Caenorhabditis elegans: one gene and its partner. The protein of the gene in region 2 interacts with the protein of the main gene of each other region in a pairwise test. Each region holds a gene or a part of one and is shown on either strand. Other genes may lie near its edges.

What was found. Proteins that work in one complex are often made in the same cells at the same time.
Region 1: the proteins of uso-1 (region 2) and unc-87 interact in a two-hybrid assay, tested with the Caenorhabditis elegans proteins (2 studies listed by BioGRID).

What each region holds. Positions count from the first base shown.
Region 1 is NC_003279.8:6,760,721-6,767,617, forward strand, and holds unc-87 (Protein unc-87), read right to left. Parts: upstream 4,971-6,897; 5' UTR 4,891-4,970; coding exon 4,287-4,890; intron 4,080-4,286; coding exon 3,871-4,079; intron 3,624-3,870; coding exon 3,465-3,623; intron 3,215-3,464; coding exon 2,732-3,214; intron 2,678-2,731; coding exon 2,543-2,677; intron 1,155-2,542; coding exon 1,047-1,154; 3' UTR 633-1,046; coding exon of another isoform or gene 534-632; 3' UTR 501-533; downstream 1-500. Other genes in the region: F08B6.1 (BPH_3 domain-containing protein), read left to right, coding at 1-71, 534-632. UniProt on the Caenorhabditis elegans protein: Thin filament-associated protein that is implicated in actin bundling and actin filament dynamics. Exhibits F-actin cross-linking activity. Required for the maintenance of sarcomeric actin organization in striated muscles.
Region 2 is NC_003282.8:13,450,676-13,457,654, reverse strand, and holds the start of uso-1 (Uso1_p115_head domain-containing protein), read left to right. Parts: upstream 1-2,856; coding exon 2,857-2,958; intron 2,959-3,873; coding exon 3,874-3,969; intron 3,970-4,155; coding exon 4,156-4,311; intron 4,312-4,374; coding exon 4,375-4,619; intron 4,620-5,873; coding exon 5,874-6,124; intron 6,125-6,177; coding exon 6,178-6,262; intron 6,263-6,979. Other genes in the region: Y38H8A.7 (uncharacterized protein), read right to left, coding at 1,520-1,571, 1,622-1,721, 1,766-1,859, 1,929-2,012, 2,060-2,149.

The DNA.
Region 1 (6,897 bases), on a different chromosome or scaffold from region 2:
GAGAGAATACGCAACGAGAATTCATTAAATCAACTACTCTTCGGTTAACAAAAACATCGAGATTCACACAGGTATTTTTGAAAAAACGTTCATTTCGAAATAAAAAACTCGAGGAAATTCTCATTTTTATCTGAAACCGATGCAACCAGAAAAACCAAAAAAAAACAACATTTTGTTTTTGAGAGATTGAATTTATTCTAAAAAATTCCGTATTTCAAGTATTTTCTCAAATATTGTGTAATATTAGCTTGGAAATTATGAACAAAAAGTTATAATTGATGATCATGTCGCAATTATAATTTTTAGGCAGAAAATAATTTTCGTAACAAAATTTTCGCTGAAAATAATTTTTTTCGAAAATTAAAATAAGGCCACTTTTGCTTAAATGGGTGTGACTACTTCCGCGGTAATGAAAAATAAATTATATGAAAAGAACAAAACTCCACACATTTTTAAAAACCTTTTTTTGTAAAAAATAACCTTTGGCTTAAAAATCGAGAAATCAAATAATGTATTCATTAAAATATTTGCAGGTATTCTTCACAACAGACATCGAATGCGAAGAAGGTCTATTCTGGAAGGCTCTCAATGACAATATGATGGAAAAACTGAACGCCCTGAACACGAACTAATTTTTTAATTTTTTGTTAAATTTTTAGTATATTGCCTGAAAGTTCCGTACGGGTTTTCATAGAATAAACATATATTTTTAAGTAAATCTATGGCTTGTCGCATCTCTGTGAATTTCATTTAGAAAACTAAATGCAAGTGGTTTAAAATAACAAGAATAATTCTTCGCTAAAATTGCTCATTTTTGGCTGCAACTTACGCAAAAAAGAAAACAATCGAAAAATTTCAAATTTATATGATGAACTTGTTTGGGTGTGAAAAGAATAGGAAGGAAAGCAGGGAAATGGGATGGAGAACAAACAAAAAAGTAGTTTTTTTTGAAGAATAAGAAGAAACATTTGGAGAAGAAGTTGAAGCAAATTATGCACAGGTATCATGTAATTTACGAAAGAAAAAAAAACACGGAGAAAAATGATTTAGAGACGATCCAAAGAGATTTCAGCCTCTTCTGGGTATTCAAGCTCCCAGATTCTCTTCAAGTGCTTGCCCTTAACGTCACGTGGTGCTCCGAATGATGTCATCTTCTGAAAAATTATGAAAAATTAGAATTTGTTTCAATAATTTGTTTTTTTTTAAAGGAAATCGTAGTTTTAAACTTAAAAGTTTGGTCATTTTTCTTCTTTTTAGAATGTATTTATATGTTTTTTTAAAATCAACTTGCACATAATTTGATAATACGGTACCTGCTCTCGCCACGATCGAAATATTTTGAAAATCGAGGCCGCGCAAAAATGTTTGCAAAAAGGTATGCGCCTTTGAATAATACAGTAACGGTTTTTCTACCATTTTAGGTTTCTATTAGGGGTGTCAATAAGTTCCGGGTCAAAATTCATAACTTTTTTCGTGGCGAATCGATTTTTCTGAAAATGTGGGAATTTATGTGATCAAACATGGTCTTTCATTTGACGGTACTTTCAAAAAGTTTTGACCACTCCATGTATCCCAGCTCGGAGACACTTTTTTCAGGCGTATGCCTGATCTCGCTTCTTTGTAACTTTCAATTGAGACTTATGTGCGGATTTTGATTAATTAAGTATACAATGTAAAAATACAATAAAAATTTAAGAAAAAATTGGTTCAAAAAAAAATTTTTTTTGGTTTGTCAAAAAATCCTCGAAAAAATTTTTGTCGAAAGTTCTTGATTTTTTGTACAGGAATGATGCAACCAAGTCTGAACAATTTAACACACAAAACTTTTGAATTTAACATTTAGATTTAGAGAAATTCTCAAAAATTTCAAAAAATGGACTAAAAAATCATAAAAATCACGTTTCAAAAGTTTTGTGTGTTAAAAATTGTTCAGACTTGGTTGCATCATTCCTGTACAAAAAATCAAGAACTTTCGACAAAAATTTTTTCGAGGATTTTTTGACGAACCAAAAAAAAATTTTTTTTGAACCAATTGTTTCTTAAATTTTTATTGTATTTTTACATTGTATACTTAATTAATCAAAATCCGCACATAAGTCTCAATTGAAAGTTACAAAGAAGCGAGATCAGGCATACGCCTGAAAAAAGTGTCTCCGAGCTGGGATACATGGAGTGGTCAAAACTTTTTGAAAGTACCGTCAAATGAAAGACCATGTTTGATCACATAAATTCCCACATTTTCAGAAAAATCGATTCGCCACGAAAAAAGTTATGAATTTTGACCCGGAACTTATTGACACCCCTACTATTAAAAATATTCCTAGCGGAAAAGTTACACAAGTTCTACTCTCAAAGGCACAGGCTTAATTTTAAAATATCCGATCGTGTCAAGACCTCGGACTTAGGGAATTATAGAATTAAACACGTTGGTGATAGAAATTCGCGAGAATCTACAAATAGTTTCTGAATACAGGACAAATTCAGGATACACTAGAATGTCATAATCAAGGGTTCCGTTATATGTTATTAACAATCGACAAACCTTCTGTGAGTCTCCCTTGTTCCATCCAGCTTGACTTGGAATGATGGTCTCAGACACCTTCATTGCCTCATATGGAAGCTCTCCTCCTTCAGCCTCGAATGTTGTGTTTCTGCATGTTCCGAAGCCAATCATACCCTGAAAATGAATTTTATTTATTTAAATTCTATAAATAATCTAAAGAAAACTTACAGCTTGAGAAGCAAAACGGTTGGTACCAGATTGAAGACGGACCATTCCCTGGGATTTACGGTTTTGCCATGAGATTGATGGGTCGAGAACTTCCCAACGTGGCTGTCCGAATCCAGTCATACCCTTCTGTGAAGCATATTGATTAGATCCCATCTGAGATGGAATTGTGGTTTGATCAATGGAACATTCATGAGAGTAATCTGGATGGTTAGAATCAACCATCTTTGTGGTCTCACGACGAGCAGTTCCGAAACCGGTCATTCCCTTTTGTGAAGCGAATTTGTTTGTTCCAGACTGAAGTGGAATTTCAGATTGATCTGGTTTCTCGTGATCGTATTCTGGATGCTTTGAGTCAACCATCTTAGTTGTCTCACGACGTCCAGTTCCGAATCCGGTCATTCCCTTTTGAGAATCATATTTGTTGGTACCGGCTTGAAGACGGACAATTCCCTCGGACATACGGATCTTTTCTTCTGGAAGCTCCTGTAAAAAAATATATATATGTTAATTATTGTTTATTTGCGTTCACAAAAGAATATCCCTGATCTTTAAATCAAGTATTTGTTCATCCGTTACTCTAAGTTCACAGAAAAAAATACCGTAATCTATAAGACGTTCCACACACATTGGAACAGAAATGTGGGAAATTAGAGAAATAATTTATTTTGTTTCTGTCACTTTTTTTTACTGAAGTGATGAAAGGTTACAGAGCTACTATGTAAAAGTAACTTACAGCCAAGTCAGCTGGGTTCTGAGCGACACGGACTCCCTCACGGCACACATCACGTCCGGATCCGAATCCGGTCATTCCTCTCTGGGAGCAATATTTGTTGGTTCCGGATTGAAGACGAACTTCTCCATGGGTTCGGTTGGCAATATCTTCTGGGATTTCCTGGAAAATTTATATTTGAAAATTTTGGAATTCCTTTAAATACTTGACGTTGAATGAAACAAATTGTGGAGGTACCAAGAAATGACATTTAAAGATTTTTTTCATTTCAGAAGAGATAAAGTGAGTAAGAACCTTTGAAGTTTTGTATCCTTAAAGACAAATAACATAAACGGTGACCTAGATTTTGCTTCTATTAAAATAAATTCTTCCACATACCCAAGTAAATCTGACCATAAAATTTCCATACCTGAAGGTTCTCAGACTTGACACGAGTGTTAGTGTTTCTTGGTGTTCCGAAGTTGGTCATCAACTTTTGTGAGTCTCCCTTGTTCCATCCGGCCTGGCTTGGAATAATTCCGTCAGTTTGACGGAGTTGAGCCAATGTCCAGCGTCCGACACGCTTTGGCTGACCTTGTCCGGTGACTTTGGTCTCCATGGTGGCATTTGGTTGCTCCTCTGAAAATAAACGAAAATTTGAATATAGGAGCGGTTAAGTTTGAAGTGATTTCTCTGATTTTTGATAACTGTTGCTTTTTTTTGATTTCCGAAAAAACTGGTTATCAGTAATAAGTGTCTGGACATGGGACAAAGACTAAGACAGCACACAGTTATCTCAAATAAAATTTGAGATATTAGTTAAGACGCAAAGAAAAACAAAAAAACCTCGAATTTGTTGAATTGGTTGCTCCTGATTGTCATAATAATAAACAGGGTGTGGTGACACAATTGTTGGAATTTTAGTTTCTTGAGCACGAGCTTGTGTAATTGGAGTTTGAGTTTTTATTGGGATTTGAACAGGCTCTGAATCCCCAGCAGCAGAAGCTTTTCCCGTCATTTCTGGATAGTCTCCATATCCACGTGGCGATCGTGGTGCAGCCACGAATTGCCGATAATTGGTTGGAGCTTGAGATGTTGGTTGAGGCTGAAGCCCGCGTTGCTCGGAAACAAAATTCGGAACAATTGAAGACTTTGGAGATGTAACTTGTACGTGTGGTACTGGTTTATACTCCTCAAGAGCTGAATTTGTTGTTGGATTCTTTCCGGTAAATTGAATCGGAATATTTCGTTCGCGCGACGCCGTATTGGGTCGCAATCGTTCGAGAGCTTCCGACTGTCTTGGACTTAGTCCACTTGGATAGAAATGCTCAGGAAATAGTTTTGCAGATTGTTGTTGTGGTGGTCCAATTGATGATGATGATGACATTAAATATCTTGATGAAGCAGATTGAAAACTAGATGCAGATGTTGTGTTGTTGAATGATAACATTCTTTAAACCAATTGTTTAAAATATTTCACAAAAATGAAACCAAAAAATGAGCACAGTGGACAAGAAAGTTCACAGAGGACAGTACGGAATGCACAGAAAAGAGAGAGAAAATAGAAAAATGATGAGCGGAGGAGGGTCTCGGCACGAAAACTGGTTCTAGTTAATAAAGTACCAGGAGCGAGAGATGAGTAAAGAAAAACGTGATTACTCTTCCAACGAACACATATGTTTGAACTTTTACTTGGAGGAACAAGGCGAACTTTTTGTTCGAACAAAAACTAGGCAGAACAGCACTCAAAATGTTTGTAAATTTTGTGGGAAATATTATGAGACGTAGAGAAAAAGTGGATTTTGGAGATCCTTTTTGATTGTTTAGGTGTCTAGGAGGTTGCTCATAGTACTAGAACAATAGAGATGGAAGGCCTTGCAGGGCAAATTTTTATTTTCCAATTTCATTAGTGGTTGCCTAGCAAGGCAAATTCCTAAATGCTTACAATATTCAAACTATATCAGTGCCTTTCTAACAGATAACAGTCTTAGAGCGGTAATTATATACTAGCTGGGATTTGTATAACTAGTTAGATGAGGAATGAGGCTTAGGATTAGGCTCAGACTTTCCGGCATACATTAGAGATAGTTAAATTTTTATTGATAGCTCTGATTCTCAACCATTTTTGACTTGAAATCTTAAAGTCTAAAAATAGCAGGCCGGTAAAAAACTAAACTCATATTAAAATATTAACTTTGAACAAAAACATTATCAACCTTTAGGGTTTTCTATATACTAAGTTTACTATAAATCATCTAAGCAAGTAAAGCAAAATCTTTGATCAGTCTAGAACACTTTCTATTTCATTTTATATGAGTCTTCCAATTGAACCAATCAACCGTACTCTTGAATCTCTTTTCACCTAATGAGCGCAAACCATTATCTACACACAAAAACTTGTGAGCCTTAACCCAAAAAAGTGAGATCTGAAGTGGTTGATTGCGCGAGAAGCTTCTTCTTTCTCTCGTCCCTCTCTACTCTATTTCTCTTTATCGGAGAATAAGTTTTAAATAAGTTAGAAAAAAAGAAAAAAAGTTGAAGAAACTAACTGTTAGAAAAGAACAATATTGTATTATTTGAGAAGTCTCTGCTTCTCTCTTTTACTTCCAATTGTTCTTCCTGCTATTTGTTCTCTATAATCTCTCGAGAACATATACTATTTCTTTAGGAGGAGATAGTTTCTCTTAAAAAAGTGATGGAAGATCATTAGAAAAGGAGTCTCTGTGTTGGCTGTTCGGTTTAAGTTTTCGGTTACTACAGAGGTCGCAGCACCATACCCGAAAAGATTAGTGGGAGCATCGAACAAGGGAATTAGAGAGAAGAATTACTATAGATTATATTTATTTTCAAATTTCGTATCGAAATAAAAATTCTTTAAAAGGTAAATTTTAGAATGCATAATGCTTCGAGGCTTTTGTAGATTGGTAAATGCTCACTGGATTGAACCAGTTTAAAAATTATCATTTCATTGTAGAGATCTACAGTCTAAAAATTGTTAATATATATCTACAGAAAAAAAACGTTTCACCATTATACATAAACTTGCAAGTTATTCAAATTTTTAATAAAAATCAATTTACTATATATAAAGCGCGTGTCGTTACGTCACTATGTAGTTTGATCTCTGATCAGAGTAACGGCAAAACATCTGAAAACTGAAGAAAAAATCGTAAAATCTATCAAATTTGATGATTAGCTCATAGACACGCACTCACATAACACACAAAATATACAAATTTTTGACAGTTTTGACCTATTTTCCCGCCCCCGCTCCTGACGCGAAGGCAAACAACAAAGGTTCGGAAAGCGAGGAGAAGGAGTTGAAGCCCATTTTTCGGAGATATGGTTCATCGTTGGTCAGAAGCTTATTGAAAGTTTGCACAGTTTGGAAACACCTTTTTTAAAAAGTTAAATACCCTATTTTTTCTATTACGCTCGCACGATCACTGCTAGACTT
Region 2 (6,979 bases):
CCTCTGTACCCTGTTTAGCAAAAAGACTACGAGTTTTTGCGCCTGACTGTTTAGTATCACAAGTTCGCGAGCTTGTGATGCGACGCCGGGTTCTTCGACGACACCTTCAAAGAGACAAGACTATCCAGAGATTTAGCAATAGACACCGAAAGGGTCGATACATACTAAAAACCCTTAGACGGAGGACTAGCTACCCTCCAATCATCGGCGAAGAAGAAAGAAGATTTAAATTGAGTGGCAACTTTCGGTGATTTCCTCAGGCCAGAGGAGACTTTGGCGGCTCTCTGCAAGATCAGGCATGACTATACGGTGTCAAACAAGAACTTGGGCGGACAATTCGAGTGGAGTTTGGACTACTTGTTTTGGTTTCCCTTCTTTTTTTTCCTTTTCCTTTTTACCAGACGCAAAGACTAATTTTTAGACGTTTTTTTTATATATATTTCCTTAAAATTGCCCCCCCCCCCCTCCTCACCCTACTCTTTGGTCGATCTGCCTCACAACCATATCCACCTTGGAGTCCTCCACTAAACCTACTCTACATTGTTGGGAACTCTTTCCCTTTCTACACCGGGGACTCTTGACCCGAAGGGGGACTCTTTACCCTGGGAACTCTTGGCCCAAAAACCTACAATACAGGGAACTCTTAGCCCTCACCGACATTCCTCTGCCAAAGGAATAATTAATAACTCACCCATATTAGGTAATATTTAATAATCCCCCCACTCATATTGGGTCATTACTTTCCTTATTTACTGTACCTTTATTTATTTATTTATTATTTGATTAATATTTATTTATTTATTTAATATTTATTTTATTAATTTATTTTTATTAATTTATTTAATTAATATTTATTTATTTAATTAATATTTATTTATTTATTTAATTAATATTTATTTATTCATTTAATTAATAATTAAATAATTAAATAAAACATTTCTGTAACTACGTGAAGCTTCTTGTACCTACTGGAATATTATTGGTATATGCTGAAAGAGCTTAAAATTTACTACAAAGTTTCTGAAAGACATTTCAAAAAAAGTTACTTTCAAAAGATTTATGAATTTTCAAAGTTTGGAAAATTCATCTATTTTTGCCTATAAATGGTAGTTTTCATTAAATAATAAAATACGCACTAAAAGGTAGGGCTGAAAATGTACTATTTCTGTAACTACGTGAAGCTTCTTGTACCTACTGGAATATTATTGGTATATGCTGAAAGACCTTAAAATTTACTACTCAGATAAACCGAACCACGCAGGCACCGCTCCAAACCACGCAGGCAACGCGTACAAACCACGCTCAAGAATGCCAGTCCCTGCGTGGTTTCAACGCGTTGCCTGCGTGGTTTGGAGGCGACACCTGCGTGGTCTTGCAGCAATGGCAGTTCGCAGCCCGCTCCTTCCCCTTCCTACCGTTTAACCATCTAAAACGCAAAGTACGAAAATCTCAAAAATAACAACAAAAAAAGGTGGGAAACAAAATTAAGTCCATTAGGCAGTTGTTTTCGTCCCAGTGATCAGTGTGATGGTGTGTCCTTTTCCTGGCTCATCTTTTTCCGTGCGTTCAAGCTGCAATATTATTGATTTTTGGAAATACAAATTGATAGAAGGGTGTTTACCATTTTTGATCCACCTGTCGGGAGAAAACATCGCCAAAATCCGCACTCGGGAACTGTCCTTCGAATCCGGCTACAACATGTAGAATATTGTGAAGAACGCCTGAAAATTTTTGTTTAAAAAAAAATTGGACAAGAATAGCTTACTGATAGGACAATTGAGAAGTCTTCCTTGAAGAATCTGATGATTCACCGAATTTGGGTGGACACTGAAGGTGTGGAGGAGCTCTGGAGGAATTGTCTGAAAAGTGAACTATTTTAACTACATCTGGATTTGGAGAATTTGTGCAGCTGCCAAACTTCTGTTCACCTTTGACTTGGAATTTTCCGCGATTTTCCTAAGCTCTTTGAAATCCCAGTCCATAGTTCGAACGAACGATTCCGAAGGTTTTTTCTGAAATTTTGTTGCTATATATTTTTTAAAAATAAAGTTTATCTTACGTTGAAGCGACCAATCGAATGCGGCGCCTCCAGTCCATTGCCACGCCGCTTTCGGCCTCCTTTTGGGGTTTTTCGGGCCGGGGTTGACATATTTACCTGAAAACAATTATTGAGTTTCATGAAGAAATTGAAAATTAATATAAAAGTGCTTTTTGCAAGAAAAAAAACGGAAAATTCCATTAAATTAGGAAAAAAAAATAGAAGAAAAAGTTGTCCAAGAGGAGTACGCAGCCATTGGCCTAGGAATCCCGCGCGTGGCTGAACGTTGGCTGCCTGCATGGTATGTAGGCGTCACCTGCGTGGTTTTGCAGCCACTGCCAATAGCTGCCCACCGTCAAGTCGCCTGCGTGGTTCCTAGGCGTCACCTGCGTGCTTTTGGTTGCCTGCGTGGTCTTGACGCGTTGACTGCGTGGTGGGCAGTCACCTGCGTGGTTTGGAGCGGTGCCTGCGTGGTTCGATTTATCTGAGTACTCTAACTTGGGCATTTATTTGAATTATATTTGAAGTATATTCGGAAATTTTTCTTTTTTTGAACATTGAAACACATTGAAATAAAATAAAATAAAGTTTGCCAGAAATTTCAATTCCAGTAATTTGTTGATTTGCCTGAAAGCTAATATATATCGAAATGTATACATTACCCGTAATCAAAACATTTTGAAGTAACAGTATTCTGTTATTCTATCCGTTTTCTCTTCACTTTTCTCTCCCGATCAACTCACTCAATGTGCCCTCTTCCTACATTACACTTTTACGCACTCTAACACTCTCTGAGCCGATAGTTTTATTCAATCGAAATGTTCGCTTATTCAACGTCTTCAATTACCGGATCAACTCTTTCAGTTAGATCGTTTTCCAGTGACACGACAATTTCCAATGCGTTTTTCAATTTGCCTCAGGTAAAGTTGTTGCAAAATATATTGATTTATTGTTATTTCTACTTTTAACCAATGTTTTTCAATTTAAAAAATTTTGAATTGAGCATATTAGCGCTGATTTTTGTTTTTTTTTAATTTAATATTTGAAAATAGCCTGTCAATTTATAAAAAATCTATGCTTTATATTTATTAAAGATATTAGCCAGACGGGAAATTTTGCAATTTTTATGTGTTTTGCGCGAAAAATACGGTAGTTCTTGGTCTCAAAACGACAATTTTTCGTTGCATGGAAACGGGTGCTCTCCTTTAAAGAGTACTGTAATTCTAAACTTTTGTCGCTGCGGCATTTTATTCGACTTTTCATTGTTTTTCTTAAAATTTATGTGTTTTAATTGTTTTACTTCAGTTTTTTACAAAATAAAAACAGCCTTTTTTAACGAAGAACTATGAAAAAACGATGAAAACCCTGCAACAACGAAAGTTCGAAATTACAGTACTCTTTAAAGGCGCGCCCTGGTTTGAATATAACAAAAAAAAAGTCGTGTCGAGACCAGGAACCGTATTTTTGGCGCAAAAATCGCAAAATGTTGGGTATGAGTATAAAATAAAACACCGTGACCACTGGCTTGAGCCACGTGTACGGTATTTAGCTGAAAAGTTTCGATCGTGTCAGGACTCAAGACTGTTCTTTTGGGGGAAAACCCGAAATTTTCGTGGGCAGCTGGTACTCTTCTTTCTGGATTTAATCCGGATTTTGACAGAAAATGTTTTCTCGACGATTTTATTGAAAATTTCCATCTGTTTCCCAAACTTTCTCCAATTTTTTTGAAATTCTTGAATTCAGTATAATTATTATTCAGTTGAATATGCAAATTTTGTTATTAAAACAATTGAAATATTTGTTTTATTCACTTTTTGAGCAGATCTTTTTTTCAGAGCAATTTCCGTCAACGTCTGCAAGCGAAAAAACGAAGTCCGAAAAGAGTCAGCAAGCGCGCTCCATTGAGAACGCATCCTCCAATTCCACGACAGGTTTTTCCACTTTTCTCTTCTTTTTTTCCCGTTTTTTTTCATTTATTTTATGTTAAAATTCAGAAAATAAAGAAAAATATTTAGAAATAAATAAATTAAATTAAAAAATGCATTTAATTATCATTTATATTCGCTCAACAACACGACAATCCCATTTTCCGCTCACTGCCACGTGTAGCTTTGCAGATGTCGCTGTTTCGGAACTTTTTTGGCGGCGGACAGCAAGATGAAGACGAGGATAATGGAGCTGAATATGTAGAAACACTTGTGGAACGAGCAGAAACTTGTACGGCACCAGAAGACCGTCGAGATGCGTTGAGAGGGCTGAAAGGTGTCGCAAAGGTGAGAGAAAAAATCATTTGAACTATTAAAATTAAACAATTAAAATTAAACGTGTAATTTCAGAAATATCGATTAGCCGTCGGAACAATGGGAATGAATGCATTCATTGACGTGCTTGAAACAGATCGCATGAACACCGAAGCCATGACAATTGTGCTCGACACGATGGCAATCGTTTTGTCAACAGACGACGATTCTTCAGAATCCGATGAATTAGGAGAACGATTAGCCGAAGTGATGATTAAACGAAAAGGCTTCATTTCTTCAGTTTTATGCGCCGTTGAACAATTCGATATTGGAGTTCGAAGGTTTTTATTCCGAAATTAACGAGAAAAAAATCAAGATGCTTTAAAAAATTCACTAATTTCAGCTAAAATCTCCAATTTCGTCAACTTATCGGTGTCACAACAACCGCAAATTAATTTTCTTTTTAATTTATCCGTATTTTCTCCGATTGAGATACATTTTCAGGCCAAAGGCACTGAATAAGGGGCCTATCGACTGAAAATTCCTCAAAAAACGGCAAAATATGATTATAATTGAATTAAATCGATTTCCGGCTGTTGCGAGACAATCTTCGAAATTAAAAACACCTGATGTTAGGCAAAATCCCCAATTTTGCTCCTTTTTTTGCGTTACAACAGTATAAATACAGTCTTTATTGCATTTTTTTTTTGGTTTGGTATCCGATTTTTTATTATCTTTGGTGTTTGCTTTTAATAACGAAATAACGTGAGATCAAATAAAATATGAAAATTCGATAAAAACTGCATTGCAGCAGTCCTAACGCGGAAAAATTGATAAAATTGGAGATTTTAACTGAAATTAGCCCGTTTTTCAGAAATTTTGAGAATTATATCTTCAAAATTAGTGTATTTTGGCGCATTTTTAATTTTTACGAGCAAAAATTCCCCCGAATCCTCCTTTAAGGAAGATTTCGGACGATTTTGAACGTATACCCCCAAAAATGGGCTCAAATAATCGAACTTCGTATTGAAACTGCTCGAAAATGTTTGAAAAACTTTTTATGGCGGTTCAAAATTTCGAAAAAATACACTGATTTTAGCTAAAATCTCGAATTTTGGCCTTTTCTCCGTGTCGCAGCGGTTCGAAGTTGACTTTTTTGGAATTCTCGTCCTTTATTGAATATTTTGGTACTTTATCTCATATTATTTCGTTTGTTAAAGTACATTTAAAGACGATAGGTAACCGTTTTTTATGATTTTTGGCTACTTATAGGCTTTAAATGTACTTTAATAAACGAAATTAAATGATATAAACTACCAAAATATGCAAAAAAAGGATGACAATTCCAAAAAAGTCAATTTCGGACAGCTGGAACACGGAAAAATGGCCGAAGTTCGAGCATTTAGCTAAAATCAGTGTAATTATATAATATTTCGAAATTTTGAACCGGCATAAAAAATACAAAATTTTGAAAATTTCTTGAGCAGTTCTATTACGAAATTCGTCCATTTGAGCTCATTTTTGAGTCTTTACGAGCAAAAACCCCCCGAATCCTTCTATAAATTATTTCAAAAATCTGTATTTTACTATTTCAGAACTGCAATTCAGCTGATTTCAAACCTGCTTCGTCATCGTGGAACAGAAGTTCAAAAAGCCGTAATGGAGCATCCTCAAGGAATCGCAAAGCTCGTCGACGTTATTCATGATAATCGAGAAATTATTCGAAACGAAGCAATTTTAATGATTTGTGAATTGAGCAGAGCCAACTCGCAGGTTCAACAGCTTCTCGCGTATGATAATATATTTCTCGATCTTCTAAATATTATTGAAACCGAGCCCCTTGACAGTGAGCGGCTAATCAATTTTAAACATTTTATTTATTTTATTCTATGTTTTCAGGCATTGTCATCGAAGATTGCATGTTTGTAATGCTTAATTTATTGAGAAAACATGCGATGAATCAGCAAATATTCAGAGAAGATCAGTGAGTGAAAATTGGAATTTAATACACAAAAATTGCATCTAAAAAATCGAAAACCACTCAAAATGGCAAAATTTTGCTTGAATCTGAATTTTTCGCGACTTGTCTCTCACGGAAATCGATTTTTTATCAATTATTCCGCATTTTTTTGGTATTTATTCTGTATTTTGGTATGTATCCTTTGAAAATGCGAAATAAAATACTAAAATATGCAGAAAAATGTGAAAATTTTGACAAAAAATCGATCTCCGGCAGCAAATTTCCAGATTTTAGCTCAATTTAATTACTTTTTCGAGTTTTAGACAAATATCATTATGAAATTTAGTATTTTTTACGAAAAAACTCAAAATTACTCCTTTTTTGCGATTTTCGCGCCAACACGTGTTTTCAGCTCGACCATTCGGTGTAATTTGTGCAAACACCGTGACGCGCAAATGCAGACATTTTTGCACGCGCTGCGGTGAAATTCCTCTTGGGAAATTTAAATATTTTTTCCCGCCTTTTTTTAAAATTTTCGAGGCGTTGGTCGAGCTGAATACACGTGCGCCAAAAAGACGATACTCGGTCTCGACACGACAAATTTATGTTGTCTGCGAAAATGCGTGCGCCTTTAAAGATTTCTGTAATTTTAAACTTTCGAGAATAATTATAATTTGAAATTACAAGAATAATTTGAAATTACAGTACTCTTTAAAGGCGCACACCTTTTTGCATTTAGCA